5 linked regions of the Macaca mulatta genome follow. The protein of the gene in region 1 interacts with the protein of each later gene in a biochemical or structural test. Links are inferred from orthologs where the notes say so. Each region holds a gene or a part of one and is shown on either strand. Other genes may lie near its edges. The genes, in order: UBR5, UBE2E1, OTUD5, PCK1 and PAIP2.

Region 1 (4,792 bases):
TATGTGGGTACTAAATCGTTCAGAATGTTATTAGTACAGAGCCCCAGCTAACTTAGAGTCATAAATTAGACAACAGCAGCTTTGATCTTAGTGGAAAGTCTGCCTCTCAATGGAACTGATGTCCACCCATCAAGTAAAACCATAACCAAGTCATCCTGCCCATTCATCTTGAAAGGCAGTATGCTGCTGACTTTCTTGTAGAAATCTGAAGGACATTCCTTATGTAAAAAACCTTGGAAGATCCTTTCTATACTCGTACTCTTCATGGTTCCTGGAACGTTTCCAGCCTTAGTTGTCTAACCAGCCTTAGTTCTAAACTACACCACTCATGGAAATATTTTAAAATGATCAGATTTCTAGATATATCCTTTATTTTATTTGAATAAGGGGGAAGTGGTTACTTGTGCAGGAAAGAAAAAACTTGCAGATTCCCAGTTACCTTCATATAGGCAAGAGTTTATTTTGGAGGTGGTGGAGGGAAGGAGGGGAACTCATCTTTACATGGCTCTTAAGTGTATTCTAATATTTCTCTGCTATGGTGAGATAGGTTTGTTCAGCAGTCCTAACTGCCACCCAGTTCATTTCTCAGCTTTTAGCCACCCTGGTAATTTTGACTTAGTTTGTTCACCAGGTAGGTTTGATATAATTGGTCAGCATTTGACTTCCCCAGTCTTGTGGCTGTTAAAGTTCCCACTAGTGTCATATACCATAACTGTCCCTGTTGGTTTCAGGATCACCTAAATAGCTTAAGTTCTGCCACCTTTAGTCAGTCTTTAGATTCAGGGCACCTTGTTTCCTTAAGACAAGGGCCATATCAAGTCTGTAAGAACCACCAAAAACAGAAATAGAAATGATTGGCTATCCGGTATAAGTTCTAAGTTATCTGTTTTAATCTATTCCCAAGTTTTAATTTTCTGCCGTTTTTAAACCAGTATTTCCTCAGTCCAGTCAGCCAACTTAAATCTCATGAGTTTCTGCCTTCTACTGAAAGAAAAATTTGCTAATGACTCAATCTTAGAAAAAAGAAAACCTTCTATGAAGACCTCAGAATTTCCTGTCAACAGCTTTAATTTGTGAACCTTAAACTCTTATTGAAAATCTGTGTTTAGGGTGTAAGCAATATATCATGGTATCTTCCTCCCCCTTACCCTTCTCCTCTTTTTGGGAAGTCATCCTTCACATATTGTTGGTTTCATCCTGATGCATCTAGAGGACATAAGAATGGGGTTTCTGAAACAGTTCTCCCATGAATTAATTAGTCCTGCAAATTATAGGTTTCCAGAGTTACTGGGTAACGCTACAGTTTATTTCCCTCTTGGAGTGTATAATTCACTAGTAAAAGTATTTCTCTTCTTCCAACTTCTTGGAGATCCAGCAGTGAGGTCATCTACCCTGGTTAACCACATTCATCCTTGAAGAAACACTTTACATTAAGCTTGTTTCTTATCTATGAAATGAGTGGTTTGGATCAGCTTCATCTCCAGAGTACCAGTTTTCTATTTCTTTTCAGATTTTATAGATCCTGATACTTAGGTTTTCTCTTTTTTTTCTGTCCCTTTATATAGAATTCTAGATGAGCTTTCCCATGCAACTGTGCTTCAGGAAATCATAAGTTTGTTTAGGTTTCCTAGTCATTCTAGGAAGTTGGATATACTTCATTGTTAAATTGTGCGTTTTAAAATGATTAGATTAAAAAAAAAGCTTTTCCTTAAGAGAGAGAGACACATGCATATGTATGTATGAAGGGATGGATTGATGAGGAATGTTACATGTTCAGTGAAATATTTCAGGGAGGCGTATCCTTGGTTAAGTTAAAAAGCGTAAGTTAACATTTACTGAGCATCATTTACACTGTGTTGCACAAAGTTTTATTATAGATATATAACTTAGTGTTAACATGGCTTATTGCATGAATTTTGATGCATAGATGTTCCCCAATAATTACTATTATAAAATGATTCCGTATCACAGTGTAGCAGTAAATACTTTTTTTGCTTTATTATTTGCTTTATTATTTACATTATTTTGCTCCTTAATGCAAAATAACTTTTTAAGATAACCTGTGTGAGTTTTGAACCTAAGACCATATCTTTTGTTTGGTAGCCTTTTTTCCACTAATAGACAGTTTATGGAATTTAGCTGCAAGAAAGGCTCTTAGAAACCATTTAGTCCAACAGCCTCATGTTACAGATGAAAAGACTGAGGCTCTGTAACAGAAAGTCACCTTTTTTTCCTCTACTCTGGACTTACTTCCTTGGGGAAAAAAAAAACAACAAAAACCTGTCTTGAGGTATGAATGATCCCTTTCCTTTTTAGTATAAGAAAATATATTTAAAACCCAATTCAAAATAATATCTCCTTTCATAACAATAGGGCTTTGTGTATATATTGCCAGAGTTGAGAGTTAAATATTAACCTGTTAAATTCCTGTTTAGGTTTACTTTTGGACATCAAGCCCATCATTGCCAGCCAGTGAAGAAGGATTCCAGCCTATGCCCTCAATCACAATAAGACCACCAGATGACCAACATCTTCCTACTGCAAATACTTGCATTTCTCGACTTTACGTCCCACTCTATTCCTCTAAACAGATTCTCAAACAGAAATTGTTACTCGCCATTAAGACCAAGAATTTTGGTTTTGTGTAGAGTATAAAAAGTGTGTATTGCTGTGTAATATTACTAGCGAATTTTGTAGATTTTTTCCATTTGTCTATAAAAGTTTATGGAAGTTAATGCTGTCATACCCCCCTGGTGGTACCTTAAAGAGATAAAATGCAGACATTCCTTTCTCAGTTTATAGCTTAAAGGCCTGAGGAGCACTAGCAACATTTGGCTATATTGGTTTGCTAGTCACCAACTTCTGGGTCTAACCCCAGCCAAAGATGACAGCAGAACAACATAATTTACACTGTGATTTATCTTTTTGCTGAGGGGGAAAAAATGTAAATGTTCTGAAAATTCACTGCTGCCTTTGTGGAAACTGTTTCAGCAAAGGTTCTTGTATAGAGGGAATAGGGAATTTCAAAATAAAAAATTAAGTATGTTCTGTGTTTTCATTTTAACTTTTTTTATGGTGTTTAATTTGTGGTTGGCTGCAACTGTGTATCATGTATATGGAACTTGTAAAAAAGTTCGACATTCAGATCTTAAGAGATGAAATCACTTTTACCTACAAAAACCACTTTTATTGCGGTTTGACTGCATTGAGCTCTAGGATATTAAATGATATCACTAATATTTTGCATGTAATTTGCTCATTTGAGTGAGGGCACTTTTTTTGTACATATGATGGGGCCAATGCACAATACTTTTATCACAATCAACTTTTTCTTTGTATCCCTATTTCAACGAGCAGTCAGTCAAGAGGTTACTGCACTTCAGTTCTAACTAGACATTTGTACTAAGGTATTTCAGTTATGTAAACTCAGCCTGGGCACTTTCTGATAACTGTAAAATGTTTTATAAGATCATGATTATTGAAGATACATTTTGGAAAATTTTAAATGTTCGTGAGCAGCTTAACTACTTTTGTATCTAGCCTTTTTTAAGTATCTTGTTACATTTACTTTTTTAAATAAAGAAATTACAGAAGAAATGTCAAGTAACATTGAAGAAACAATAGTTTTTATTTATGTAGTTGTACATTTTTAAACTAAGGGCAATACACTGACATGGTTATGTGCATAAAAATTTTGATTTAAAGAACTGGAAGTTTATATACACCTGGACTATAAGAAACAGAAGAAAATCAGTCCACATTTTACAGTTAGCAGAGAATCCTAAATGGCACTGGCCTGGCCACCTTTTCTTTTTACAAATGGGGGAAGTGAAGTGTGACCCCTTACTTGGTATAGGAAGTTAACTTACACCTAATAACTGACAGGTTTTTTTTTTGATGACCCATTAATTATGTAGCCTAGGATTAATATCCCAAAATTACTCTGGTTTAAGTAGCTTTATTCAGTGGCATAACAACACTGTTTTCTTCACTAAGTCTTCAGTGAAGTGACTTAAAACAGTCACTTTACATATTAAAAATGAGGAGAGCAATTCTCTGGAATCTCTCAGTTCCTTTGTAGGACTTCCGGCCTTGAGGATAGTCTTCATGTTCAAAGGCACTATGCTTTTATTATATAACTTCCTTCAGAAGACTGAACCACATGATATTCTCAGCCCTGTTAACACTAAAAATATTTAAAGCTGAATGATAGTAGTGACTCATTGTATTACTTAAAACTTATATAACACGCTGTATTAGATGTGTGTAAATTAGCCAAAGGTTATTTTACAAAGTGAGACATTGGTTTTTATGTCTAAATGCTATTTCTGAATAAATGAAATAGTAATTAGATCAAGAGCTGATTAGCATCAATGTGTTTGAAAGATATAAAACTTATATATCACCTTAACCTCTGTATGCACATGATGGGATTGATAAAATATTAAATGAGAACAAACTAGGTATGATTAGGACATTTGAAACCCTAATTGTGAATTTATTTTTAATAGTTACTGAAATGAAAATATTTAAAATAATGCACAATGTCTTAAGTCTTCCTAAATCAAGATTTTGGTTAAAAAATACTTTTAGTAATATTAAAAACAGATTTTTTTTTTAAGTAAATCATAAAATGGTTCTAAATGTAAAATAAAGACATGTAAAATAAAGTTCTCTTTTGGTCTTGTTTAGTGTTTAAATCTAACAATTGAAAACAAATTTAGGAAGAGAAGACCAAGGATGAACTTTACTGAGTGTTTTCAGAGTTTGCTACTACTATTTTTTTCCCTAA
Region 2 (6,280 bases), on another chromosome or scaffold:
CAGACCACTTGCAATGGGGGGCTTTCCTCTACCCACGATTTAGAAACCACTTTCCAACATGCAGTTAGCAGCCTGTTAGTCTGCCAATTCAGGCTTCTTTTTCACTCCTTCTCCTGGTGAATGTGCCCCTTCCAATTCTATGGGCAACACCTACCTTTCAAATCAATATACTTCACAGAACAGCCTCTATAGGGTCCCACTAACATCAATTTTCCCCATTCTCTTTCCTGGATACACTGTCCCTCTCCTTTTTTTTTTTTTTTTTTTTTTTTTTACCTTTTGCTATTAACCTTAGGTCTGCTTTAACACTAATAGCTACTCTTTCAGCAAGATTATCAAGGAGCTAAATTCATTGCAAAAACAAAACAAAAGCACTGATGTTAATTTATAGGTAAAATTACTATTTGTAGCTTCCCACCTTTCATTTTTCTACACCTACCATCTCTTTTCCAGAACTTCCAGATAAATTTTTAACTTGTTTAAAATAAAAGGACAAAGTATGTCTAGTGAAAAAAATCCCCCTCTCTGTAATTCACTCACAATAAAAGCAGAGTATTTTCTAGTTGATAACTGGGTCTTTACCCCCAAATATATTCATGTACACCAGGGATATCCAGCAAAATATAAAAATGCAAATTACCAAAAGCAAGTATCCCGGCTTGAGCACGTGAGGCCAAAAAGTGAATGAGGATCAAAGAGCCTAGAGGATTGAGGTGGGGGGCAGTGTTAAGGAAGGGCCTGTCCCAAGTGGGCAGAGTAGATGCCAGGTTCCAGGAAAACCGCACAGGGCTAATCAGTGAGGGTCAGTTAGGCCTCCTGAGAAGCTGTACAATCAAACCAAACCTATAAAAATGAGAACAATCTTGCAGAGGCACCTTGCCACTTAAGACCTCCACACTATTTTTAAAAAGTCACTCATTCATCAGCTCATGGTTAGGTCACCAAAACACTGCCAAGTTTTCAAATTACAAGTCAGGCAAAATGACAGAACAAACTCTCAAACCCTGACTTTCAGGCTCACTACTCAGTGGAGAGATCTAAAGTCTCATGTTCCACTTTATTTTAAAAATTTTTAAGACGGGTATCCCTATCTAACCCATCATTTGGACTTCTTACTATCTTCCTGGTTTGCCACCTTTTTAACAACTGCCTAACTCTGATAGCAGAAGGATTTATGAAAGGGTGTCTCAGGGCTCCTAGGAATCCACTAAAGATTATTTTAAGGGTCATGGCGATCAGAGGATATTACTGAAGGATGGCAGGAGTAACAAGTAGCTACCTCCAGAGCCTTAAGAGGAAAAGAATAAAGAAAAAGAGAGACTGCTTAAATTGAAAAAATAAAGCAACGTAACATTTTCACAGCATGAGGACAGCAAATAGCATGAAAAAAAGACAAGTTTCCCTGAAATTTGGTAAACTGAAGTTTTTAAAGAGAACAAAAGAGAACCACAAAAATAACCTAGAATAACTATTTTATAATCACTTACTGATTCATTCATTTGCCTCAACTCTCAGAAAAATCTCTTTAAATTCCACCATAAAACACGTCTTCACCTACTCAATTTTGTACCTGCTAATACGAGTTTTATTCCTTATGCAATTTGTGAAGAAAGCTCTATTTAGAAAAGATCATCCATGCAACAGGTGAGGAGAAGGTAAAATGGTCACAGAATTCATTTTGATGCAGTTGTCTGGGCTGGTATTAGTAATTAAGAAATGGGATGATGGCCTTGGGGAAGGTCACAGATCGACCATTAGTAGGACAAGAAATCTGAAATCAGATTTGGGGGTCACTAATAAAAGTAATGAAGATTCTTACAAACTTCAGCAAGAAATGCGAGAGGCAAGCCACAATAGCTGCATGTGAGCAATGATTAAAAAAAAAACAGAAGCAGCAATAGAGAAAATAATTAGGGCTTCCAAGGCCCTTCTTTCATTTTTAAGAACACATAAACCATGAGGAGCGTTTAAGCTATCCTCATTGGGAGGCAGACCAAATGCAGCAAGAGGCAGTTCGGAAAATAGGAAGCCTATGGAAAAAAAAAAAGAGTACGGTACCTCTTGGCGCTGGTGGAGAGGAGTTTCGAGTTTTTGCTCATGCTGACTTTACTCTCCTTCTTCTTGGGGGTGTTTGTTTCTTTCTCGGTTTGCTGGTTGGAAGACGAAGATGAGGAGGAGCTGGTGCTGGCCCTCGAATCGTCATCCGACATAGCGAACCCCCCACCCCACCCCGCAAACAGCCCCTGCAGGGGGAGGGAAACAAAACAGAAACACACAAACCATGCAGCCAGTGTAAATAAGGAACTCGGGTGCTGTCAGGAGGGCATTGACCAGGGGCGCACGCGGCCGCCCACCGCCCTCCACTCGCTTTTCAAAGTCTGCAGGCCCATTAAGGCTTTTGCAAATCGGACGCGGCTTGTTTATTTTTGGCCCCAAGTGGGGAACGCTGTGGGAAAACGGTCTGGAGCTAGGAGAGCGGCCCCTCCCTCGCCCCCCCCGGGGCTCTCCGCTGGGCAGGGAGGGAGTAGCCCGGGAGGCGAAGGAGGGCAGGGCGGGGGCGCGGGGCGCCACGGCGGGGCAGGGAGGGAAGGTCCCGGCAGCCGGCCGGCCTCGGGGCTGTTTTTGTCCGCTTTCCGGGGGTCGTGGGGTGGGGGGCCGGTGGCCCGGGTGAGAGACTGTGGGGCCACGAGAGGAGTTTGGCGAGGTCGGGAAGAGAGGAGGGGCGGGAAGGAGTAAGAGAGGAAGCCGAAACAGGGGGACGGAGGCGGGGAGCGGGTGCCCGGGTGGGGGAAGGGAGAGGCCGGCGGGGGGCACGGGCGACAAGGCCCGAGGCCCCCCCGCGCCGCGCCCCGACGCCCCTCCCGGCCTGCCTGCCTCTGGGCCGCCCCGCTCACGGCTGCGCGGCCGGGAGGGGGTCCGGAGCACACGCCCGATCGCCACTCCTGGAGGGGGATAGGGGCTGCGGCGGGGAGTGGGGGGGGGGGGTCGGCCTCCGCAGCGAAGAAATAACAATGAGCCCTTCCGCCCCGGAGGGGTTAATCCCCGTGAGCCCCCGCCCCTGGGGAAAACGGGGCTCCCCCAACTCCCCCCCACCCCCGCTCCCGGCCCCCTCGGTGGCCAGTGGGGGGCTCTTGGGGCAGCGCTGACAGTTCGAGCCACAATGACCCCCGCCCCCGATGCGGGCGGCCCCCGCACCCCAAGCGGCCCGGGGTCCCTGCCCATCCCCCGCGGGCGGGCCCCGGACCCCTGGGGCTCCCCAGCCCCTCTCCGCTCCCCCCTCCAGCCCCGTGCCCGGCGGCCCGGCGGCCCCGGCGGCGCGAGTCGGGGGAGGCGGCGAGGGGTGTCCCCGAGGCCCGGCGGCGCGGCCGGGGGGCGGCGGGCCGCTGGGGGGATCCCCGTACCTCTCTTTGTGTCTGGCTCCTCCGTGCCGCCGCGGCGGCTGCTGCTGCGGCTGCGGCTGGGCCTGGCCACTCGTGTCTCTCTCGCTGGGAGAGAAGCGGAAGTGCAGCAACAGCAACTATTAAACAGGCAATGGCTTCCCCCAGCCACACACGCTCGCACACACACCACTCCTCCGCCGCCGCCGCCTCCTCCTCCTCCTCCTCCTCCTCGCCCTCACCCCTCCCCCACCCGGCCCGGTCCCACCCACCCTCGCTCCCCTCCCCCTGCAACACCTCCTGGGGGTGCGCGAGGAAGACCCAGGAGACCCCAGGAAACCGTGCCCCCCCCACACCCCCACCCCAGCGCCTCCTCCGGACGCCCGGGAAGGGGGCGAGGGGTGTGAATTTTCTCTTAAGTGGTTTGGGAACCTGGATTCTGGGCGGGAGAGGGGAAGCCAATGGAGATGGGGTCGCTGGGAGTGATTGGAACTGGATGGAATAGGGGGGTCACGAGAGAAAGTTCTTTCCAGTGAGGGCTTTTGGAAAGGAGAGGGGTAGGGAGGTGGCAAATTGGTGGAAAAGATGGTAATCTGGTGGTGGCAAAGACTTTAGAGAATGCAGCGGGAACTCCACCTAAAAAGCGATTAAAGAGAATAAAAAAATCACACAACAGGGGTTTTCTTTGGACTGACACTTGCTTCTCCTTCTAGCAATTTACCTGCTAGGAGCAGAGGTCAGTTTAGGCACGCCTGTGAGAAAATCCCAAACCAGGAATTTTCTGCTCAGGTCACGCGAGGCACGTGCAGTTTTACAATGTTAGATTCTTCCAGTCACTTTTTATAGAAAGTGATGTGGTTTTATAAGAGTGATACAAAGGTTTTGGTGACAGGTAAAACCAACGTGTAACGGGGCTTGCGAATGTGAGAAATCACTGGGTATAAGCTATATACTACTGAATTAGACTGGATTTAGAATTTTTGGTGTCATTTTACATTAGATACAAGGTTTGGTTTTTGGAAATTGGATGGAAAGTTCTGGGGATCGCAGTGCTTTCGTTAGCTACATATAAATGCTATTCAAATAATATTTTTGAAATGATCAGCAGTTCTTCTGAATTGTTCCTTATGTAGCATTTTTGCCAAATTTGTTTTTTTAATATTAATCTGTCAAATTACGATTTAGTTTCTCACATATTTGTCATTTCAGTTGAAGGGAACTGAAGAGATGTGTGCCATTCAGATACACCAGTGCCACACATACAAGGTCTTGTACATTAAGGAGACAGCCTCAGATTTCCATAGCTCGCTCTAAATTATCTCATTCAAACTGCCATCATTTTCCGCGCAACAGTGGCTTCAGTTACTACAGGACAACACAAGATATATGCCCATGGCATATCCAGTAACCAGGAAAACAAGCATTCTCACGACCCAGCCGAACTGCTTCTTACCATCAACCTGAAACTCCAGCTTTATCAAGACTCATAAAGTAATTGTGCATGCTTCTTGCTCAATCCCTACCAGGAAACCTGTATCTGCCAGGAGTTGTCACAGAATAAGAAGTTCAAAAGCTGGGCGATATCTTCAGGGTCATAATTTCAGCCTCCTGCTTCCAGACAGAACTATTTCTCCACCACTGAAATGCATATAGATTTTGAAAAAGTCTCCAGACATAACCTTTCTTAAGTGTTTGGTTGCAGGAGTCGTGGTAGAGTATATAAAAATGATGACGTCTCTGCTGTGTATTTGAAACATTTTTTAAACTTCTGAAAAACCGATTGTATTTTTGTTCTGATGAAAAGGTGTAAATTCAGGAGAAAACAATAAGCAGATGAAATAAACTCAGGATGAAGAAAATAATCTAAAAATAGTTATTAAAATTGAAATTTCCTCCTATGAAAATTTGGATTTCTGATACTTAAAAATATATATCCACATGATGAATACAACCAGTAAAGTCATGTGTTATAAAGACAAGAACTAGCAGAGATCACAGGAAAATAAAAGGCTTGATTTGCTGAAGTGATCAAGACAGTAGCTGAATTTTTTCTTTAATATTGGTTTGCATAAATTGAATACCAGCTATAATAATAATTCTTTTGAAACAGAACATGATATTGATATTTTGTGTTGCGTTACTGATGCTTGGGTTGGACTGATTCCTTGTGAAAGAAATCATGAAATCTAACGGCTCCTCCTATATGGAAAAGTGGTTTCCCAACCACCTGTATGGAAGGTTTCTGGCCCTCTTTTGTGTACCATTCCCTCTAATCTCCAATACCAGCTAGCTTAGTTTAGTGCTTTATGGTTTTGGCATGACCTGATGAGAGGGAATAAAAACTTTAAAATGTTTAGAAAAGAATCCAGTCCTCTCAGAAGACTAATCTTTATGTCAAATTATTTTTAAGACCTGTATACAGCTGTCTTAGAGGAAAAAAATTCATACACAACTTTCTATCTCTCCTTGTTATTAACTACAAGGCCTAGAAAGCTAAATTGACCTCCCTGAGCCACAGTTCCCTCATCCATAAAAGGCAGGAATACCTGTGCTCTACTGACTGGCAGGGTCAAATGTGTATCTGTAAATAAGGTGATTTATTAGCTGTTATGCAAAGTAAATTATTAATAATTCCACTCGAGTGGAATTTTCTTAGGACATGGATTTGGGGTTTTTTTGTTGTTGTTGTTGCTTTTATGTTTGTTTGTTTTTTTTTGTCACCAGGGTAGAAAAGAAGACATGGGATTTTTATAACCTAAAATTGGTGAAAATATAAGAAACCTTCCAGAAGAAACATACAGTCAATCACAGGATTTTATGCCTAGAAGGGGTCACAGGAATCACAGGATTTTATGCCTAGAAGGGGTCTAAGATATCTTCTAGTTCATACTCTTCACGTTACA
Region 3 (6,378 bases), on another chromosome or scaffold:
GAGTTCTGTAGAGCACTGAGCAGACAGACGATGGATTCAGGTTGATCTGGGTTCCAGTCCCTGGGTGAGAGAATCATTTACCTTCTCTTGCCTCAGGTTGCTAATCTGTGAAATAGGGATAATTCATTTAGTCACCAAATATTTATTAACTTCCATTATGTGCCAGCCCTAGGGATACAAAGGTGGGCAAAGTAGACATTGTCTCTGATGTATAGTTGAGCATGGAAGGCAGACAAGTAATTACAACATGGTGTGGCAGAACTAAGATCCATGGGTTATAGAAGCATGCAGATGGCAGGAGAACTTAACCTGGCCAACACACAAGGAATGAGTTGGAGTTAGCCAGGCAGCAAATCAAAGGATGCAATGTTCTGGGCAGAGGGAACAGCATGTGCAATGACCTGGAGGTTAGAGAGTGAGCTCAGGCCTTTGGGGAACTGAAAGTATTTCAGTCCAGCTGGGGAGGAGAGTGTGGGGCTGAGGAGAGGAAGGATGGAGAGGTAGGCCAGATAACAAAAAGCTTTGACGCTATGACGCGAATTTTGAACTTCATCCTAAAGATAGTGGGGACTTCTAAAGGCTTTTAAACAGAAAAGTCATGATGAAGTTTGTGTTTCAGAATGATCATTCTGGCTATGGAGAGTAGATATAGAGAAACAGTCCTGGAAGGAAGAAAAGTAGGGAGGAGGCTTTTATAATAGTTTAGGTGGTAGGGGACAGTGGCTTGGACTAGAGTAGTGGCAGTAGAATTGGAGAGTCTAGAGATTTGGGAGGTAGAATTGGCAGGACTTGGGATTGACAGGCATGTGGGAGTTGAGGAAGAGGGAGCAGTCAAGGTTGACTCCCAGGTTCTGGCTTGGACAACGGCTGGATGGGAGTGCTATTCCCTGGTAAAGGGAACATCAAAGCTGTTAGCACTCAGTGCTAGGTACATAGTAAGTACTTGGTGAAGGGTAGCCATGATTACTATCTTGAGTTCAGTTTTAGATGTGTAGTGAGTGAAATATATGGGGCTAGGGTGAGATGGTCATGAGAAGATTCAATGTGATAATGTGCATCTGGCACAGAGCCATGAACACAACAGGCCTGGTAAACATGAAAGTCCCCTCCTCCCATTAAGTCTCATGAGCAGAAAACACTACTTAGAACCCATTTATTACTTACACCTTTCAGGGAAGAACTTCAACTAGGGTTAGTATCTGAAGGGAGGCAAGGCTATACTCAAAACAGCTTTCCCATGGTCTCTTTCAGTCAACCTGTTGTATGGCTTGTCTCCTAAGACTGGAAGTGAACTCCAAATACCTTCTTGGTTCATCAGCTCATCTGAACCCCATAACCATTCCCTGAGGTAGTCTGGGCAGGCATTATCATTCCCGTTTTACACATGGGTAATCTCAAAAGCAACACAATGACTTGCTCAAGATCATACAGTTGGTAATGGTCCATCTGTGCCTGGAACTGAGGTCTTTCTGGCTCCAAAGCCTACGATCCTTCCACTGCACCACCATGCAGACTACTTTATTGAACACTTCCTATGTGCTGGGCACAACACCAGGCCCTTCAGAAGCATTAATCTCTGATCCTCAGATTGGAATTATCATTGCCAATTTATAGAATAGAAATTGAGGATGGGTGCTCACTTCGCACCACATATACTAAACTTAGAACGATACAGAGAAGATTAGCATGGCACTATGCGAAAGGATGACACGCAAATACGTGAAGCGTTCTATAAAAAAGTAAACAACAATAACAAAAATTGAGGACGGGGTGGGAGTTAAATGACTGACAAAGATCAATCAGACAGGAAGCGCAGAGCTAGAATTAGCGTGTAGCTCTCCAGCTACTCAATAGCAGGGATTCTGCCAACCCCATTTCGAGACGCTGACTGGTGACAGAGCTGATTCATAAACCTCGATCGACCCAAGCAAACTCAGTTTTAGAAAAAGGCTGGGCTTGGCCAGGCGCGGTGACTCACGCCTGTAATCCCAGCACTCTGCGAAGCCGAGGCGGGAGGATCGCTTGAGCCCAGGAGGTGGAGATCAGCCTGGGCAACATAGCGAGACTTTGTCCCTACAAAAAAGTGAAAAAAAAATTAGCCGGGCGTAGTGGTGCGCGCTTGCGGTTCCAGCTATTCGGGAGACTGAGGCGGGAGGATCGCTTGAACCTTGGAGTTGGAGTTTGCAGTGAGCTATGATCGCGCCACCGCATTCCAGCCTGGGCGACAGAGTGAGACCCCCGTCTCGATTAGAAGGGGGGGAAAAAAAAAAAAAAAAAAAAAAAAAAAAAAAAAAGGCTGGGCCGCGCCTGCGCACTAGCCATAGGGCCGGGGAGGTCAACCCGAGGGCGAGAGTGCTGTGGTGCCAGAGAAGGCGTGTCTGTTTCCCAAACAACCACTGTCCCCACGGTGCTTGTCTGTCCCAAGGTTGGTCGGTATGACGCGAGTGACGGCGTCTTTTAGCCAATCACCGCAGAACTCAGGCTGTTGCCGGGGTGAAGCGGTGTCCGCCTCCCCCGGAAGGATATTTGTAGGTGGGTGGGACCGGAAGTGACGCTACAGGGGAATGCTATGCTCTGGGAGTGTTGATGTTTTCCAGTCATTCCGGCTGACAGCGTTCAAGTTGGAAGCCTGGAGGGGAGGTGTTTTTCCTGTCGTACGTGGGACAGGCCACGCTGTCCGTCCGCAGTACCGACGACTGCGAGTCAGAGCTTCGGGGAGAAAAGTGAAGAGCAAGACGGGACCGACGGGGAGAAAGGCTGGGAACCAGGGTGTCGACTTTGACTGAAATTTGAGACGGAGGGCACCGGAGGGCGAGCACTCGCCTGTGATTGGCCCGTGGGCGTCGTCGAGGACCCACGCAGCTGCTCAATTGGTTGGTGTTCGCAATTGTTGTGGCTGCGGCGGCGATTTTGCCCACGTACTTCCGAGCAAGGGGCGGGGCTGTGCCCTGGCGCGCGTGCGCAGCGCCCCGGGGCCCCACCCGGTAGTGCAAGAACCTGCGAGGGGGCGGAGCGAAGAGGTGCTTGTTTTGGTTCTGTTTCCTTTGAAGCAGAAGGCCGGAACAAGCGTAGCAATAAATTTGCTGGACTTGGAGAGAAGGTTCCGACAAACTCGCCGCACTGCCTTCATCTTGGACTTTACATCCGGGTTCTCCTCCCGGCGTGACCCGCGCGCCGCCGCCGCCGCCGCCGCCGAGGGTTCTCGAACCGGTGCCGCGATCCCTTTATCCGGGTTTCGCCGTTCCCGTCGTGCTTAGCGCACTACATTAGCCCCCCCTCATCCGGGTTCTCTCCCGGCGTGCCTCGCGCCGGGTTTGTTGGGGGGTACTCGGCGGTGCAGCCATGACTATACTCCCCAAAAAGAAGCCGCCGCCTCCCGACGCCGACCCCGCCAACGAGCCGCCGCCGCCCGGGCCGCTGCCCCCGGCGCCGCGGCGCGGCGGGGGTGTGGGCGTGGGCGGCGGCGGCACGGGCGTGGGCGGCGGCGATCGCGACCGTGACTCCGGCGTCGTGGGGGCCCGTCCGCGAGCTTCGCCACCGCCTCAAGGCCCGCTACCAGGACCGCCGGGCGCACTTCATCGCTGGGCGCTGGCCGTGCCGCCTGGTGCAGTGGCGGGTCCCCGGCCACAACAGGCTTCTCCACCTCCTTGCGGGGGCCCAGGTGGTCCCGGCGGCGGTCCCGGCGACGCGCTGGGCGCAGCGGCGGCGGGTGTGGGTGCCGCGGGCGTGGTGGTGGGTGTGGGTGGTGCCGTAGGCGTGGGCGGCTGCTGCTCCGGGCCTGGGCACAGCAAGCGGCGACGTCAAGCTCCCGGGGTTGGCGCGGTTGGCGGGGGCAGTCCCGAGCGTGAGGAGGTCGGCGCAGGCTACAACAGTGAGGACGAGTATGAGGCGGCTGCAGCACGCATCGAGGCTATGGACCCTGCCACTGTCGAGCAGGTAAGAGCTGCGGGATGAGGGGTGGGCGGCTACGGCAGATGGGACCCCCAGACTGTGAAGAGCCTCAAGGAAGGCTGTTTGAGATCGCCCCAAGGGATTTAGGCGTTTTCACTGGGCCTGATAGTCTTCTCTGGTGGTAGGGGTGTGAGATGCCTTCTTTCCTCCCCTCCAGGGATTTGGGGCTAGAGGTCTACGATAAGGTGGCAGACTTAAAGATGGGATCCGAGGCCTCTTTTAGGGTCTGTAATCGTCATTTCAGTCCTTGGGACCTCATCTTGTAGGGCCAATAGGTGGGAATTCTCCAAGAGACACAGGTAGGATCGCGCCCCTCTTGAGCAGGAGTCTCAGGTCTTCCAAAAGACCTAGGTCTGTGTTCAGTGGCTTAAGAGCTCTTTTCCTTTGGGATAGAAGTTTGAGATTCCTCCTCCAGGAAAGTCAAATAAGGTGGAGACCTCAGAGATCGGGTCTGAACATCCCCAAGGAGCCTAAGCCCTTTCAAGAGTCTAAGACACTCTGCATGTAGGACAGTCCTCTCCTGCTTCGCTAGGTAACACGGCACAGGACCACTGAATAGCCAGACCTGAGACCTCAAGGGTCCTAAGTCTGTCTTCAGGGGCCTGAGAGTCCTTATTGTAGAATCAAGGTCCTGACACACACAGACACACACACACACACACACACACCCTTTAAGGACAGGGATCTTCTAAGCTTTTTCCAGGGATGTAAGACTTTTCGCAGGGAGATATGATTCCCTTGCCCTTGGGGACAGGGACCGAAACCAACACCCAAGGACCAGCAGCTTTACTTGAGTACAAGAGACTCATCCGCTTTCTGAGTGACAAAGGTCTGCATTTCCTATCAGTGGCTGAGACCTACCTCTTCGGAGACAAGGCCCTGACTCTCTTCAGGATCTTAAGCTTCTTGTAAGAAGAGATGGGCCCTCAGCACCCCCACCAGGGGCCTGAACCTTTCTTCAGGAAAATGAAGACTCACAGCGTTGGATCCTAGGGCCTAAGATCTATCTGCTTATGGACTGAGGTTTTTAGAGACCGAGTCTGAGGCCTCTTTGGGGGCGTGGTGTTCTGCTGCAAAGGTCTCAGACAAGGTGAAGCCTTAGGAGATTCTTCTTCTTAAGACTAGTGTCTGAGTGGTTTTGGGGGTCCGAGACTCCCTACCCCACAAGCATATGTGACCTTTTTACCCCAATTATAAGGGACTGAAACATACCTTGGGGATACAGTATCTCATTTTCCCTTTTGTAACAGGGGTTTGAGGCCCTCCCCTCTTTGGGCCTAAGCTTCTTGTCAGGGACATATGACCCTTGCCTTGGGAACTTGAGCCTGAGACTACTCCTCAGGGGACATGGGCAACATGGGATCCCAGAGATCATGTCTGGGGCCTCCCTACAGATCTCTGCCTACATTTAAGGGCCTGAGACCCACTCTGCCAAGGACACTTGAGCTTTCCTTCAGGGATGGGAGACTCATACATACCCTGGTGACTTGTGTGTCTAGAGGTAAGGTCTGAGCTTCCTCCTCAAGGAACTTAAGGTGTACCCCTGAGAAACAGGAGGACTCCTCCCCCGACGCCTGAGCCCTGAGACCCTTCCCTTGGGGCATGGATAAAGGATCCCTGTGGAACAGGGTCCTGAGTCTACCTCCAAGGGTTTGAATCCTACCTCAGGTGTGCGAAGGCCTGTTCCCCACCTTAGGACCTGATTTCTGAACCTGTCCTTAGGGTACTGTCACCTCACCTCAGACAACATACATACACCCTAGTCATAGGGGTCATTTAGGGATGTAAGATTTCCTGCCTCGGGGACTTGGGCCTCAGATTCCCAATTCCTTTCCGGGACATGAGTAGAGTAGGATTCTGAGGAAAAGAGTCTGGGCCCGAGCTTCCTCTCTGGGACAAGATATCGTTTGCCTTAGGGACTGGGGCCTGGCTCCCACTTGGGCATGAGGCTCTCCCCCTACCACACCAGGGATTCCTTTCTGTACCGGGAGAGGAACGTGAGGTCATCCTCTCCCATTGGACAGAAGGACCTGGATGCTCTTCAGGGTCATATGAACCCCTTATCCTGAGCTCCCTCGTGGCCAGGGCCAAGAAGATCCTCCTCCTTTCTATGAGAAGATTGTCAGGTCCTGGGGACATGGAGTCTGGAGCCTCCCTTCTGAAACCAGGAGCGATTCAGAGTTTCTCCCTGACCTAGCTATGCTTGCTTCTCACCTCTAGATCATATAATAAGTTTTGAACTGCTTTTGACAAGCTTTTTTCTTCCCAGGGACAGGAAAGGGGTTTGGGACATCGCCACTCTGGGGAAATTCTCCTCCCACATTCCTTTTCCCCTTGGCTCAGGTAAATCTTTCTGTACTTCACAGGGGCCCCAAGCCTTGTCTTGAGCTCCCTGTTCTTGCTCCCTTCCTCCCATCATTAATTCTG
Region 4 (5,527 bases), on another chromosome or scaffold:
CCAGTGGCCTCCCCTAACCTAGGGGGGCTGGTGGCCAGCAGGGTGTGGTGGTGTTAGTGGAAGACTGTGAAAATGGGTCTACCTGGGAAAACAATGCTGGTTGTGTTCAAAATCCAAGGTCATTTCTCACCAGTGCCTACCCATCGCACCCTGTAGGTCGCACCATGTACGTCATCCCATTCAGCATGGGGCCGCTGGGCTCGCCTCTGTCGAAGATCGGCATCGAGCTGACGGATTCGCCCTACGTGGTGGCCAGCATGCGGATCATGACGCGGATGGGCACGCCCGTCCTGGAAGCACTGGGAGATGGGGAGTTTGTCAAATGCCTCCATTCTGTGGGATGCCCTCTGCCTTTACAAAGTAAGTGTATTATTTCACAATCAAAAGTCAAAATAAAAAAAGAAAGCTGAACAACAAACCCCAGCGGGTGCCTCGGGGACCCCCAAACAGAGCCCTGGCGCACTGACGTGGGAGGGGTCCTTGTTCACAGAGCCTTTGGTCAACAACTGGCCCTGCAACCCGGAGCTGACGCTCATCGCCCACCTGCCTGACCGCAGAGAGATCATCTCCTTTGGCAGTGGGTACGGCGGGAACTCGCTGCTGGGGAAGAAGTGCTTTGCTCTCAGGATAGCCAGTCGGCTGGCCAAGGAGGAAGGGTGGCTGGCAGAGCACATGCTGGTGAGTCTGCAGGAAGCCCTGACGTGCAGATGAGAGGCCCGGGGGGTGGCAGAAACAAACAGCATTACAGTTCCCATCCAGCAAGACCCAGTACACCTTTCCGAGCATGCAGGTTCCCAGACAGATTGGGAAACCCCACCAGTAATGATTAGTGCACACGTATACGTCACTTTTGAAGGGCCCCAAACACCAGGGGACCATCGAGATCCTTTGGACTTCATGATTCTGGGAATGTTTGTTTGCACTGATACCTGAAGAAATAGATCTTGAGGGCCTACATTCCAACCTCTGGGCTGAAGTACCAACCTCGGGGAGAAGGGAACAAAGATCACAATAAAGAATCTTGTCCCCGGTGGGCGCGGTGGCTCACGCCTGTAATCCCAGCACTTTGGGAGGGCGAGACGGGCGGATCACGAGGTCAGGAGATCGAGACCATCCTGGCTAACATGGTGAAACCCCGTCTCTACTAAAAAATACAAAAAACTAGCTGGGCGAGGTGGCGGGCGCCTGTAGTCCCAGCTACTCGGGAGGCTGAAGAAGGAGAATGGCGTGAACCTGGGAGGCGGAGCTTGCAGTGAGCCGAGATCTGGCCACTGCACTCCAGCCTGGGCAACAGAGCCAGACTCTGTCTCAAAAAAAAAAAAAAAAAAAATGAACCTTGTCCCCAACAGATCCTGGGTATAACTAACCCCGAGGGTGAGAAGAAGTACCTGGCAGCTGCATTTCCCAGCGCCTGCGGGAAGACCAACCTGGCCATGATGAACCCCAGCCTCCCCGGGTGGAAGGTGGAGTGCGTTGGGGATGACATCGCCTGGATGAAGTTTGACGCACAAGGTGACTCTTTTAGACCCAACTGTTGGTAACGATTGGACTCAAGTGAATTATCGGCCTTCAAAACATGCCACGTTCTCCTTGATCCAGTGTTTGGATTTTTAAATTCTGTTAGTCCAGAGTTGGCCAAACCTTAGAAATACGTATTCTGTAAGAATTCTTCAATTTAATATTCAATCTGGATTGAAACTGGGCCATATGTTGCTGTTTGTTTACATACATACATTTGTTTAAATGGTATTGGTGGAAAATTGTGGAGGAAGCAAGAATTGTAAACATCTCAAAGTTGCATATGATGCTTGGATGAAAAGAGATAAATGTACATTCTAGGGAGGGAAAAAAGATTTGAGAAGTTGGCATAGAAATTAGTCCGGCAAGATATAAGAGTGTATGTTCTGCTTTGCCTGGCACCCACTACTACTTCTCTGGTTTAAATCTCCAGGTAATTTAAGGGCTATCAATCCAGAAAATGGCTTTTTCGGTGTCGCTCCTGGGACTTCTGTGAAGACCAACCCCAATGCCATCAAGACCATCCAGAAGAACACCATCTTTACCAACGTGGCCGAGACCAGCGAAGGGGGCGTTTACTGGGAAGGCATTGATGAGCCGCTAGCTTCAGGCGTCACCATCACTTCCTGGAAGAATAAGGAATGGAGCCCAGAGGATGGTGCGTCCCCGCCAGAGGCCTCGGTGTGCTGGGCTGCAGGGACTGCCTGTTTGAGCCAGGCACTCATGGGCCTTTCTCCATCTTATAGGGGAACCTTGTGCCCACCCCAACTCGAGGTTCTGCACCCCTGCCAGCCAGTGCCCCATCATTGATGCTGCCTGGGAGTCTCCGGAAGGCGTTCCCATTGAAGGCATTATCTTTGGAGGCCGTAGACCTGCTGGTGAGGTTCTCGTTCATTTAGGCTGGGAACATGGGTGTGCTGGGTACCGAAGGGCATCTGTGAAATCTCTGCTTTTCCATGACCTTGTCAGAGGGTGTCCAGGGGCTTCCTTTCTTGAGCTTCCTTTCCAAAGAGCCAGAATAATTGGCAAGTTCAAATGTAGAACCCTTCTGGTCACCTGGAACCTTTCTGAATCCTTAATCTATCACAGCTTGATCAAATTTTACTTTTTACTTTGTGGCCTCAGTCACGTAACCTTGACTTAGCAGTTTTCTGCAGTTTAGCTTGGTGAATGCAAAACTAGCTCGATTACAAAGTTATTGTCTTTCCATGACTTTCCATGTTGTGAATAACACCACTGGTTGTAGAGGCTGAATTTTAAAGCCTCTAATGAATGTTTCTTTTTTTTTTTTTTTTCCTGCTAAAGGTGTCCCTCTAGTCTATGAAGCTCTCAGCTGGCAACATGGAGTCTTTGTGGGGGCGGCCATGAGATCAGAGGCCACAGCAGCTGCAGAATATAAAGGTAAGTCAAAGTCCTGATTTGAAACCACAGAGAAGTGGGATTAGAGCGCTCTTCTTCACTCTTATGTCTCTCTCCTTCTCTGTGTCTGTGTGTGGGGAAAGAGAGAGAGAGAGGAGAACAAAGCATGCTGATGTCAACAATCAATGGGGCCAGTTTTGCCTAGGAGAGCATCATTTACCAATGGAAGCTCCCTCTCTGTTTAACAGGCAAAATCATCATGCACGACCCCTTTGCCATGCGGCCCTTCTTTGGCTACAACTTCGGCAAATACCTGGCCCACTGGCTTAGCATGGCCCAGCACCCAGCAGCCAAGTTGCCCAAGATCTTCCATGTCAACTGGTTCCGGAAGGACAAGGAAGGCAAATTCCTCTGGCCAGGCTTTGGAGAGAACTCCAGGGTGCTGGAGTGGATGTTCAACCGGATCGATGGGAAAGCCGGTGCCAAGCTCACACCCATAGGCTACATCCCCAAGGAGGATGCCCTGAACCTGAAAGGCCTGGGGCACATCAACGTGATGGAGCTCTTCAGCATCTCCAAGGAATTCTGGGAGGAGGAGGTGGAAGACATTGAGAAGTATCTGGAGGATCAGGTCAATGCTGACCTCCCCTGTGAAATCGAGAGACAGATCCTTGCCTTGAAGCAAAGAATAAGCCAGATGTAATCAGAGCCTGAGTGCTTTACCTTTAAAATCATCCCCCTTCCCATCCATAAGGTGCGATAGGAGCGAGAGAGGGCAAGTTTTCCCAAATTGATGCCACCATAATAATCATCACCGCCGTGCGCAGATCTGAAAGGCACACTTTGATTTTTTTAAGGGGAAGAACCACAGAACACCAGCTAGTAGCTAATGAAAATGAGAAGGGAAATCTTGGCATGCCTCCAGAAATTCACACCCAATGCATAGTTTGTTCAAATTTAAGGTTACTCAGGCATTTGATCTTTTTAGTGTTTTTTCACTTTAGCTATGTGGATTAGCTAGAATGCACACCAAAAAATACTTGAGCTGTATATATATGTCTGTGTGTATATGTGTGTGCATGTACGTCCACATGTGTCTGTGTGGTATATTTGTGTATGTGTATTTGTATGTACTGTTATCGAAAATATATTTAATACCTTTGGAAAAATCTTGGGCAAGATGACCTACTAGTTTTCCTTGAAAAAAAGTTGCTTTGTTATTAATAAGTGTGCTTAAATTATTTTTATACACCATTGTTCCTTACCTTTATATAATTGCAATATTTCCCCCTTACTACTTCTTGGAAAAAAATTACAAAATAAAGTTTTATAGAAAAGATGGATTTGCTTTGCTCGGTTTTTCTTATTTGAGCTACCAAGCAGAGTGAACTCTGATTAAGCATCTTGTGATTTAAATCCCTGCCCCCTCCCCAAGAAGGTGTGGACGTTCAGAATCACACTTGAAGAGCGGGTGGGTTGTCTGGTCCCAGGGAGAAGGAAGGAGCAGATGGGGAGGAATGAGGCCGGGAACCGTGGTTGGGGTTTTCTGAATTTGTTGAAGCCACTAGTTGGCGCCCTTTAACAATTCTACAAACCTTTAGATGGTGAGGCTTCTGTGGCTGGACTGGGAAGGTTTAATGTCTGCTTTTTGACAATTTGGGTCTGGAGGGGGCTTAGGCTTCCACAAAAATTACTTTGTGGACAGTTTCATAGGCTTTTGCCTTTTAACTCTTCAAAGCAACAGTTTTCTCAACTGTCATCCCCGCGGGGGAGTGGGGAAGACAAGTGTTCTTGAGAAGGAAAAGCTGACAGGATCTGGGTTGAGCAAGCATTAATTGAGCGCCTTCTGTGTCCTGGACATCATGCCAACACCATGGGCAGCCCGAGAAGAGAGGTGGGTGGTTTGGACCCCAGCTCTGCCTTGAACCTCACCTGCTCTCCTCTACTCCCAGTGTTTATTGGATATTCCAGAACGGTACAAACAAACCATAAACCTTATATTACAGGTTCATTCTGTGTAAATACTATTATCTTCAAGTTGTAGTTTCTTTCTTGGGTCCAGGCTGTGAAATTGGCTTCACCCCTACCACACCCCAGCGGACAGGCTTGTTCTCATGTCACGCTCCACCCCTCCAGTCTCCTCAACTGGAAAACTTGCCTCTTTTCCTCACTTCCTCTGCTCCTTACGATGGCTTCACATGGAAGGTGAAGCCGAGATCACCCCAATTTTACAGGCGAGGAAACTGAGGCCAGGAGTGCCTATTGGGGCTGAGAAATTGCCAGGATTTCCTTCCCCATTAAGGAGCTGAGAGTCCTAGCTCCAGACTCATTGGCTTGTTCTAACATCAAAACCACTGATGGGAAAAACCACTTAGTGGAATTCAATGCTATCTGCTGTATTAGTTTAAATCAGTGGCATTCAAACTTGTTTCTCCTTTTCACTGCAGAACACGTTCTTGACATGTACTTGACTCAGAGTCCCACGACTAAAGGAGACAGAGCTCAAGGCAGCCCACCTGAGGCTGGGGAGGGAGTCCAGAGTGCAGGCCACCTGGCCTCCATTTCCCCACCCCTTGGGGGCCTTTGGGCAGCTCCTTGAACCCCTGAAAGGGGCCACCAGGATAAAGTTTGTTAAAATGCATGCCTTGTG
Region 5 (6,519 bases), on another chromosome or scaffold:
GTACAGGTGAATTGTTTTATGTAAACCTATTTTTAGCGATTTCAAACTTAATGAATTGGAATATTTTAGAATGTGAAACCTTGTGCTTCAAATATTTAGCCTGCAATGTATCAATTAGGTTAGATCATGTTATCAGCTATTGAGTAGTATAAGACATCAGGCTTATATTTGATACAACTTATACTCAGATGAAAAGATACTGGACTGGGCTGGGCGCGATGGCTCATGCATGTAATCCCAGCACTTTGGGAGGCCGAGACAGGTGGATCATTTGAGGTCTTGAGTTCAAGACTAGCCTGGCCAACATGATGAAACCCAGTCTCTACAAAAATACAAAAGTTAGCTGGGTGATAATGGCACACGCCTCTAATCCCAGCTACTCTGGAGGCTGAGGCAGGAGAATTGCTTGAGCCTGGGAGGCGGAGGTTGCTGCACTCCAGTCTAGGTGACACAATGAGACCCTGTCTCAAAAAAAAAAAAGATACTAGATGCCTGAAACTCACTGTACAGTGAGGAAATCCAGACATGGCAGAACTTGACATGGACCTAGAGAAAAAGCAGACACAGAATGGGCTATGAAGGAGAGATCAGAACTATACCTGAAGAACCTGAGAGGTTATTAAAAATCTGTTAGTTTTAGGCCAGGCATGGTGGCTCACGTGTGTAATCCCAGCACTTTGGGAGGCCAAGGCGGGCAGATCACGAGGTCAGGAGATCGAGACCATCCTGGCTAACACAGTGAAAACCCGTCTCTACTAAAACAGTACAAAAAATTAGCCGGGCCTGGTGGCAGACGCCTGTAGTCCCAGCTACTCGGGAGGCTGAGGCAGGAGAATGGCGTGAACCTGGGAGGCAGAGCTTGCAGTGAGCCAAGATCACACCACTGCACTCCAGCCTGGGCGACAGAGCAAGACTCTGTCTCAAAAAAAAAATCTGTTTTCACTTTCAATCCCTGGACTTTTTGAAGTCAGTTTTTAAAAATTGAATTTGCTCTTCATCATTTAATCACTTGATGACTTGATGCCTCAGTCTTCCAGACTGTGTTTGGCGGCGGCGGCGGTGGTGGTGGTGGTTGTTTGAGGTGGAGTTTCACTCTGTTGCCTGGGCTGGAGTGCAGTGGTGCGATCTCGGCTCACTGCAACCTCCACCTCCTGGGTTCAAGTGATTCTCCCACCTCAGCCTCCTGAGTAGCTGGGACTATAGGCATGTGCCACCATGCCCAGCTAATTTTTTCATTTTTAGTTTTTTTTTTTTTTTTTTTTTTGAGATGGAGTTTCACTCTTTTTGCCCAGGCTGGAGTGCAATGGCTTGATCTCGGCTCACCACAACGTCTGCCTCCCAGGTTCAAGCGATTCTCCTGCCTCAGCCTCCCGAGTAGCTGGGATTACAGGCATGCACCACCACCCCAGCTAATTTTGTAGTTTTAGTAGAGACGGGGATTCCCCGTGTTGGTCAAGCTGGTCTTGAACTCCCGACCTCAGGTGATCCACCCGCCTCGGCCTCCCAAAGTGCTGTTTTATATTTTTAGTAGAGACAGGGTTTCACCATGTTAGGCTGGTCTCAAACTCCTGACCTTAAATGATTCACCTGCCCAGGCCTCCCAAAGTGTCGGAATTATAGACATGAGCCACTGTGCCCGGCCGACCATGCTTGCTTTATAAAGCAAGTGATATGTAATATAAAATATAAATTGGATGGTTTGGAGAGTCCCATGTAAGCAACTGATGTACTTCATTTACTGTTATCAGAAAACATTAGCTGTGGCCAGGCACGGTGGTGCACACCTGTAATCCCAGCACTTTGGGAGGCCAAGGCAGGCAGATCATCTGAGGTCAGGAGTTCAAGACCAGCCTGGCCAACATGGTGAAACTCTGTCTCTACTAAAGATACAAAAAATTAGCTGGGCATGGTAGCACGTGCCTGTAATCCCAGCTACTTGGGAGGCTGAGGTGGGAGAATTGCTTAAACCTGGGCAGTTGAGGTGGCAATGAACCAAGATCATGCCAGTGCATTCCAGCCTTGGTGACAGAGTGAAACTCCATCTCAAAAAAAAAAAACAACAACAAAAAGGAAAACATTAGATGTTTTAGCTATCCTCTCCTATTAAAACATTAAATCATTTGGAAAAAAAATATGAAGCTTTCCAATTGTGCAACTTACCGTGTATCATCTGCCTCTAACACCTATTCATGATGCCTGCTAATAAACAGATGCTCATTAAGAACTGAAAGAATCAGCTGGGCCCGGTGGCGCATGCATATAATCCCAGCACTTTGAGAGGTTGAGGTGGGGAGGATCACTTGAGCCCAGAAATTCGAGACCAGCCTGGGTAACACAGACCTTGTTTCTACAAAAAATAAAAAAAATTCAGCTGGGTGGTGTGGTGGTGCACACCTGTAGTCCCAGTTACTTGGGAGGCTGAGGCAAGAGATCAAGGCTGTGGTGAGCCATGATCACACCACTGCACTCCAGCCTGGATGGAGTGAAACCTTGTCTCAAAAAGAAAAAACCCTGAATAAGTAAGTAAATTAACTGTGGTGTTGTTCTTTTAAGGTTAAAAACGACAACCAACATCAGCCATGAAAGATCCAAGTCGCAGCAGTACTAGCCCAAGCATCATCAATGAAGATGTGATTATTAACGGTCATTCTCATGAAGATGACAATCCATTTGCAGAGTACATGTGGATGGAAAATGAAGAAGAATTCAACAGACAAGTTAGTTTTTTGTACAAACATGTTCTTTTTCATAGTCCATTCCGGCCCTCAATATGATTGTACTTGTCCGTGAAATGTGTTTATCTTGTCCTTTATGTATGAAGTATGTAGACTGATGTGCCACCACTCCTACTTATTTGGCTGCTGATTACTACCAGGCTTAACTGCTTATGGAAATAACCTGGGGAGCTTGTTTCAGGGTCCCACCCTAGAGATTCTGAATCAGGAGGATGAGGGTGGAGCCTGGAAAACTTTTTCAAAGCTCCCAGATGGTTCCAGTGAGCAATCAGATTTGGAAACCACTGCCTTACGCCAGTCAGATACACCAGTCAGATTGCTGTGAAAGTCAAGAGAATTTAGGAGTCAGGAGTAGACAGGCACAGAAAAAAGAGACAGGCATCTCTTTTTACTTCTTCCCTGCCACTCTCAATGGAAAAAAGAATGTTCTACTAATAAAAGTAAAAACAGAAAAACCCTAAACAGATCTTCGCAGGTCATTATGGTAAGCATTTTTTTCCTTAGCACAGAAGCAGAAAAGAAAGTGTGACCTTGTGCCTTTAAATGGTTTAGTTCAAGATATTTTAAGCCATTCCTAGTGATATCTACCAAGTGTGCTACAAATTATCTTTATTATAAATCTAGATAGAAGAGGAGTTATGGGAAGAAGAATTTATTGAACGCTGTTTCCAAGAAATGCTGGAAGAGGAAGAAGAGCATGAATGGTTTATTCCAGCTCGAGATCTCCCACAAACTATGGACCAAATCCAAGACCAGTTTAATGACCTTGTTATCAGTGATGGCTCTTCTCTGGAAGATCTTGTGGTAAAAACTTATTTTTCATCTTTTAAGACCTAGTGCAACTTTTGCATAAGTGGAAAAGCCAGTTCCCATCTATTTAAGAATTCTGCATCTTCTTCCCCTTCAGAAATTGTGCTGCTTCTGGCTGGGCGTGGTGACTCACGCCTGTAATCCCAGCACTTTGGGAGGCCGAGGCAAGTGGTTGACTTGAGGTCAGGAGTTTGAGACCAGCCTGACCAACATGGAGAAACCCCATCTCTACTAAAAATGCAAAATTAGCCGGGCATGGTAGCACATGCCTGTGATCCCAGCTACTCAAGAGGCTGAGGCAGGAGAATCTCTTGAACCTGGCAGATGGAAGTTGCGGTGAGCCGAGGTCGTACCATTGCACTCCAGCCTGGGCAACAAGAGCGAAACTCCATTAAAAAAAATAAATAAATAATATAAAAATTGGCTGGGCATGGTGGCTCATGCCTTTAATCCCAGCACTTTGGGAGGCCGAGGTGGGTGGATCACCTGAGGTTGGGAGTTCAAGACCAGCCTGGCCAACATAGTGAAACCCCATCTCTACTAAAAATACAAAAATTAGCTGGGTTGGTGGTGCATGCCTGTAATTTCAGCTACTCAGGAGGCTGAGGCAGGAGAATTACTTGAACCTGGGAGGCGGAGGTTGCAGTGAGTGGAGATTGCACCATTGCACTCCAGCCTGGGCAACAGAGTGACTCTTGACTCAAAAAGAAAAAAAAAATACAAAAATTAGCTGGACATGGTGGCAGGCACCTGTAGTTCCAGCGACTTGGGAGGCTGAGGCAGGAGAATTGCTTCAACCTGGAAGGCAGAGGTTGCAGTGATCCGAGATCGTGCCACTACACTCCAGCCTGGGTGACAGAGTAAGACTCTGTCTCACAAAAAAAAAAAAAAAGGAAAAAGAAATTGTGCTGCTTTTTACGATGGAAGCAGAGTCTCATGACATGGAATCACTTCTGGCAACACTGTGGAGCTAGTCTTAAATGGACTTCTAGCCCCTGCTTTTAGTCCTGATGTTGCCCTAGGGTACTTAAATGTCCTAAAGAATTAATAATTTAAAAACACACACAATATTATCACGTTACTTGCCTATACAAAAGTAGCTTGATGGAGAAGTTTTGCTCTTTAATCTTATTTTGGCTGGGCTCAGTGGCTCATGCCTGTAATCCCAACACTTTGGGAGGCTGAGGCACGTGGATCACAAGGTCAAGAGTTCGAGACCAGCCTGACCAACATGGTGAAACCCCATCTCTACTAAAAATACAAAAATTAGCTGGGCCTGGTGGCACATGCCTGTAATCCCAGCTACTCGGGAGGCTAAGGCAGGAGAATCGCATGAATCCGGGGAGTGGAGGTTGCAGTGAGCCAGGATGGCGTTGTTGCACTCCAGCCTGGGAGACAGAGTGAGACTTCTCAAAAAAAAAAAAAAAAAAGAAAAATTGGGGAAGAGGGGAAAATTGTTACAACTAAACATCAGCACTAGTGAGAACTGGCTGGGTCCACTGAACTAATCTGTACACTGTAATTACCTATGAAGCATTAAATACAAAAACCAGTTCTTTACTTGCATCCCAACATGCTCAGTTGTCTGAGCATGTTAATTTTTTAAAAGGATTACAGAGGATTTATTATACAGCCAACCTGCCTGAGTTGGGCATTTGGAAAACATTCTTCTAAGGAATGGTGTAGAGAGCACTGAAGTTTACATTGTGGTATAGCCTTTGTTGCAGTAAGTGATGGTAACCCATTTGAGCAGCCGTATGATCTGAATAGTCTGTGGGGTATGATGACTTATGGCTACATTAGTCACCGTAAATAATCCCAGTTACCCTGCAGAGTAACACTCTTGGCTGAGCATAATATATAGCTTTAATCAGGACCCAGTATAATTCCATAGTACAGAAGCTGGTTTGTTCTTCTCAGTCTATGTGATACTACTTTGTTTCATTCTTATTCTTCTGTTGCTCCGAAAGATAGTTCATTTAAGAACACTGTGCCTGGATATGGTGGCTCATGCCTGTAATCCCATCACCTTGGGAGGCCAAAGTGAGAGGATCACTTTGGAGTTCGAGACTAGCCAGGGCAACAAAGGGAGACCCTATTTCTACAAAAAGTTTAACTTAGCTGAGTATGGTGGCACCGGCCTGTGGTCCCAGGTACTTGGGAGGCAGAGGCTAGAGGATCATTTGAGCCCAGGAGGCCGATGCTGCAGTGAGCTGTGATTGTGCCACTGCCCTCCAGTCTGAGCAACAGAGCGAGTCCCTGTCTCAAAGAGAACAGGAATGCTGCTTTTTTTCCTTAAACTTCATACTTTTAAAGTATAGATACATTATTTCCCTTGCTGGAATGGAGACTATATCCTGTCCAAAGAAACTGCTATGTATAAATTACGAAACTAAAATTATTTCTTCAACATGTTTAATATTATGCATTAGTCTTGAAGTGATGTAGGGTCAAATTCAATGTAAAAGCCTTCCAGCATACCTACATTTCAGGCCCTGGAACCTGTCCTCATTTCTTTTTATTTTTATCAATTTGCAGTCTAAAATACCACAGAGGAAAATTTCTAGGTGTTCTTCCTAGATGCTGACAGGTCTGCTTAGGAGAGTAAAGATTTAGAGACATAGCATAACATTGGTACGAGTCTCTAAGACTCAGACTTTGGCCTATCTCCCCCCACCCACGGCGTTTTTTTTTTTAATTGATGCAAAAAATTGAATCCCAGAGAAAGATGACTTATCTGAGTTTACATAGAAGTTAGTTAGGGGCAGGGCTGGGATTTCAGACTTAGGTCTTCTGGTTCCCCATGTCATTTTCTTTTCCTGTTGTATACCATGCTTCCTGTGGGAATTAGAAGACGGCAATTGTAGAAAAACAACTCCACATTTTTTTTTTTTTTTTTTTGAGACGGAGTCTTGCTCTGTCACCCAGGCTGGAGTGCAGTGGCCGGATCTCAGCTCACTGCAAGCTCCGCCTC

Evidence for each region.
Region 2: the proteins of UBR5 (region 1) and UBE2E1 form a complex in vitro, tested with the Homo sapiens proteins (2 studies listed by BioGRID). The link is inferred for Macaca mulatta from reciprocal best matches to the Homo sapiens genes UBR5 and UBE2E1.
Region 3: the proteins of UBR5 (region 1) and OTUD5 form a complex in vitro, tested with the Homo sapiens proteins (2 studies listed by BioGRID, with this or other methods). The link is inferred for Macaca mulatta from reciprocal best matches to the Homo sapiens genes UBR5 and OTUD5.
Region 4: the proteins of UBR5 (region 1) and PCK1 form a complex in vitro, tested with the Homo sapiens proteins (2 studies listed by BioGRID, with this or other methods). The link is inferred for Macaca mulatta from reciprocal best matches to the Homo sapiens genes UBR5 and PCK1.
Region 5: the proteins of UBR5 (region 1) and PAIP2 form a complex in vitro, tested with the Homo sapiens proteins (2 studies listed by BioGRID and IntAct, with this or other methods). The link is inferred for Macaca mulatta from reciprocal best matches to the Homo sapiens genes UBR5 and PAIP2.

What each region holds. Positions count from the first base shown.
Region 1 is NC_133413.1:112,598,257-112,603,048, reverse strand, and holds the end of UBR5 (E3 ubiquitin-protein ligase UBR5), read left to right. Parts: intron 1-2,435; coding exon 2,436-2,648; 3' UTR 2,649-3,607; downstream 3,608-4,792. UniProt on the Homo sapiens protein: E3 ubiquitin-protein ligase involved in different protein quality control pathways in the cytoplasm and nucleus. Mainly acts as a ubiquitin chain elongator that extends pre-ubiquitinated substrates.
Region 2 is NC_133407.1:24,676,356-24,682,635, forward strand, and holds the start of UBE2E1 (ubiquitin-conjugating enzyme E2 E1), read right to left. Parts: upstream 3,534-6,280; 5' UTR 3,402-3,533; intron 2,244-3,401; 5' UTR 2,211-2,243; coding exon 2,059-2,210; intron 1-2,058. UniProt on the Homo sapiens protein: Accepts ubiquitin from the E1 complex and catalyzes its covalent attachment to other proteins. Catalyzes the covalent attachment of ISG15 to other proteins. Mediates the selective degradation of short-lived and abnormal proteins.
Region 3 is NC_133426.1:49,031,473-49,037,850, reverse strand, and holds the start of OTUD5 (OTU domain-containing protein 5), read left to right. Parts: upstream 1-2,553; 5' UTR 2,554-3,342; coding exon 3,343-3,936; intron 3,937-6,220; exon of another isoform or gene 6,221-6,294; intron 6,295-6,378. UniProt on the Homo sapiens protein: Deubiquitinating enzyme that functions as a negative regulator of the innate immune system. Has peptidase activity towards 'Lys-48'- and 'Lys-63'-linked polyubiquitin chains. Can also cleave 'Lys-11'-linked ubiquitin chains (in vitro).
Region 4 is NC_133415.1:110,363,184-110,368,710, forward strand, and holds the end of PCK1 (phosphoenolpyruvate carboxykinase, cytosolic [GTP]), read left to right. Parts: intron 1-156; coding exon 157-360; intron 361-490; coding exon 491-678; intron 679-1,349; coding exon 1,350-1,512; intron 1,513-1,951; coding exon 1,952-2,176; intron 2,177-2,264; coding exon 2,265-2,396; intron 2,397-2,823; coding exon 2,824-2,919; intron 2,920-3,125; coding exon 3,126-3,580; 3' UTR 3,581-4,214; downstream 4,215-5,527. UniProt on the Homo sapiens protein: Cytosolic phosphoenolpyruvate carboxykinase that catalyzes the reversible decarboxylation and phosphorylation of oxaloacetate (OAA) and acts as the rate-limiting enzyme in gluconeogenesis.
Region 5 is NC_133411.1:148,224,293-148,230,811, forward strand, and holds the start of PAIP2 (polyadenylate-binding protein-interacting protein 2), read left to right. Parts: upstream 1-2,553; 5' UTR 2,554-2,579; coding exon 2,580-2,717; intron 2,718-3,359; coding exon 3,360-3,539; intron 3,540-5,946; exon of another isoform or gene 5,947-6,383; intron 6,384-6,519. UniProt on the Homo sapiens protein: Acts as a repressor in the regulation of translation initiation of poly(A)-containing mRNAs. Its inhibitory activity on translation is mediated via its action on PABPC1.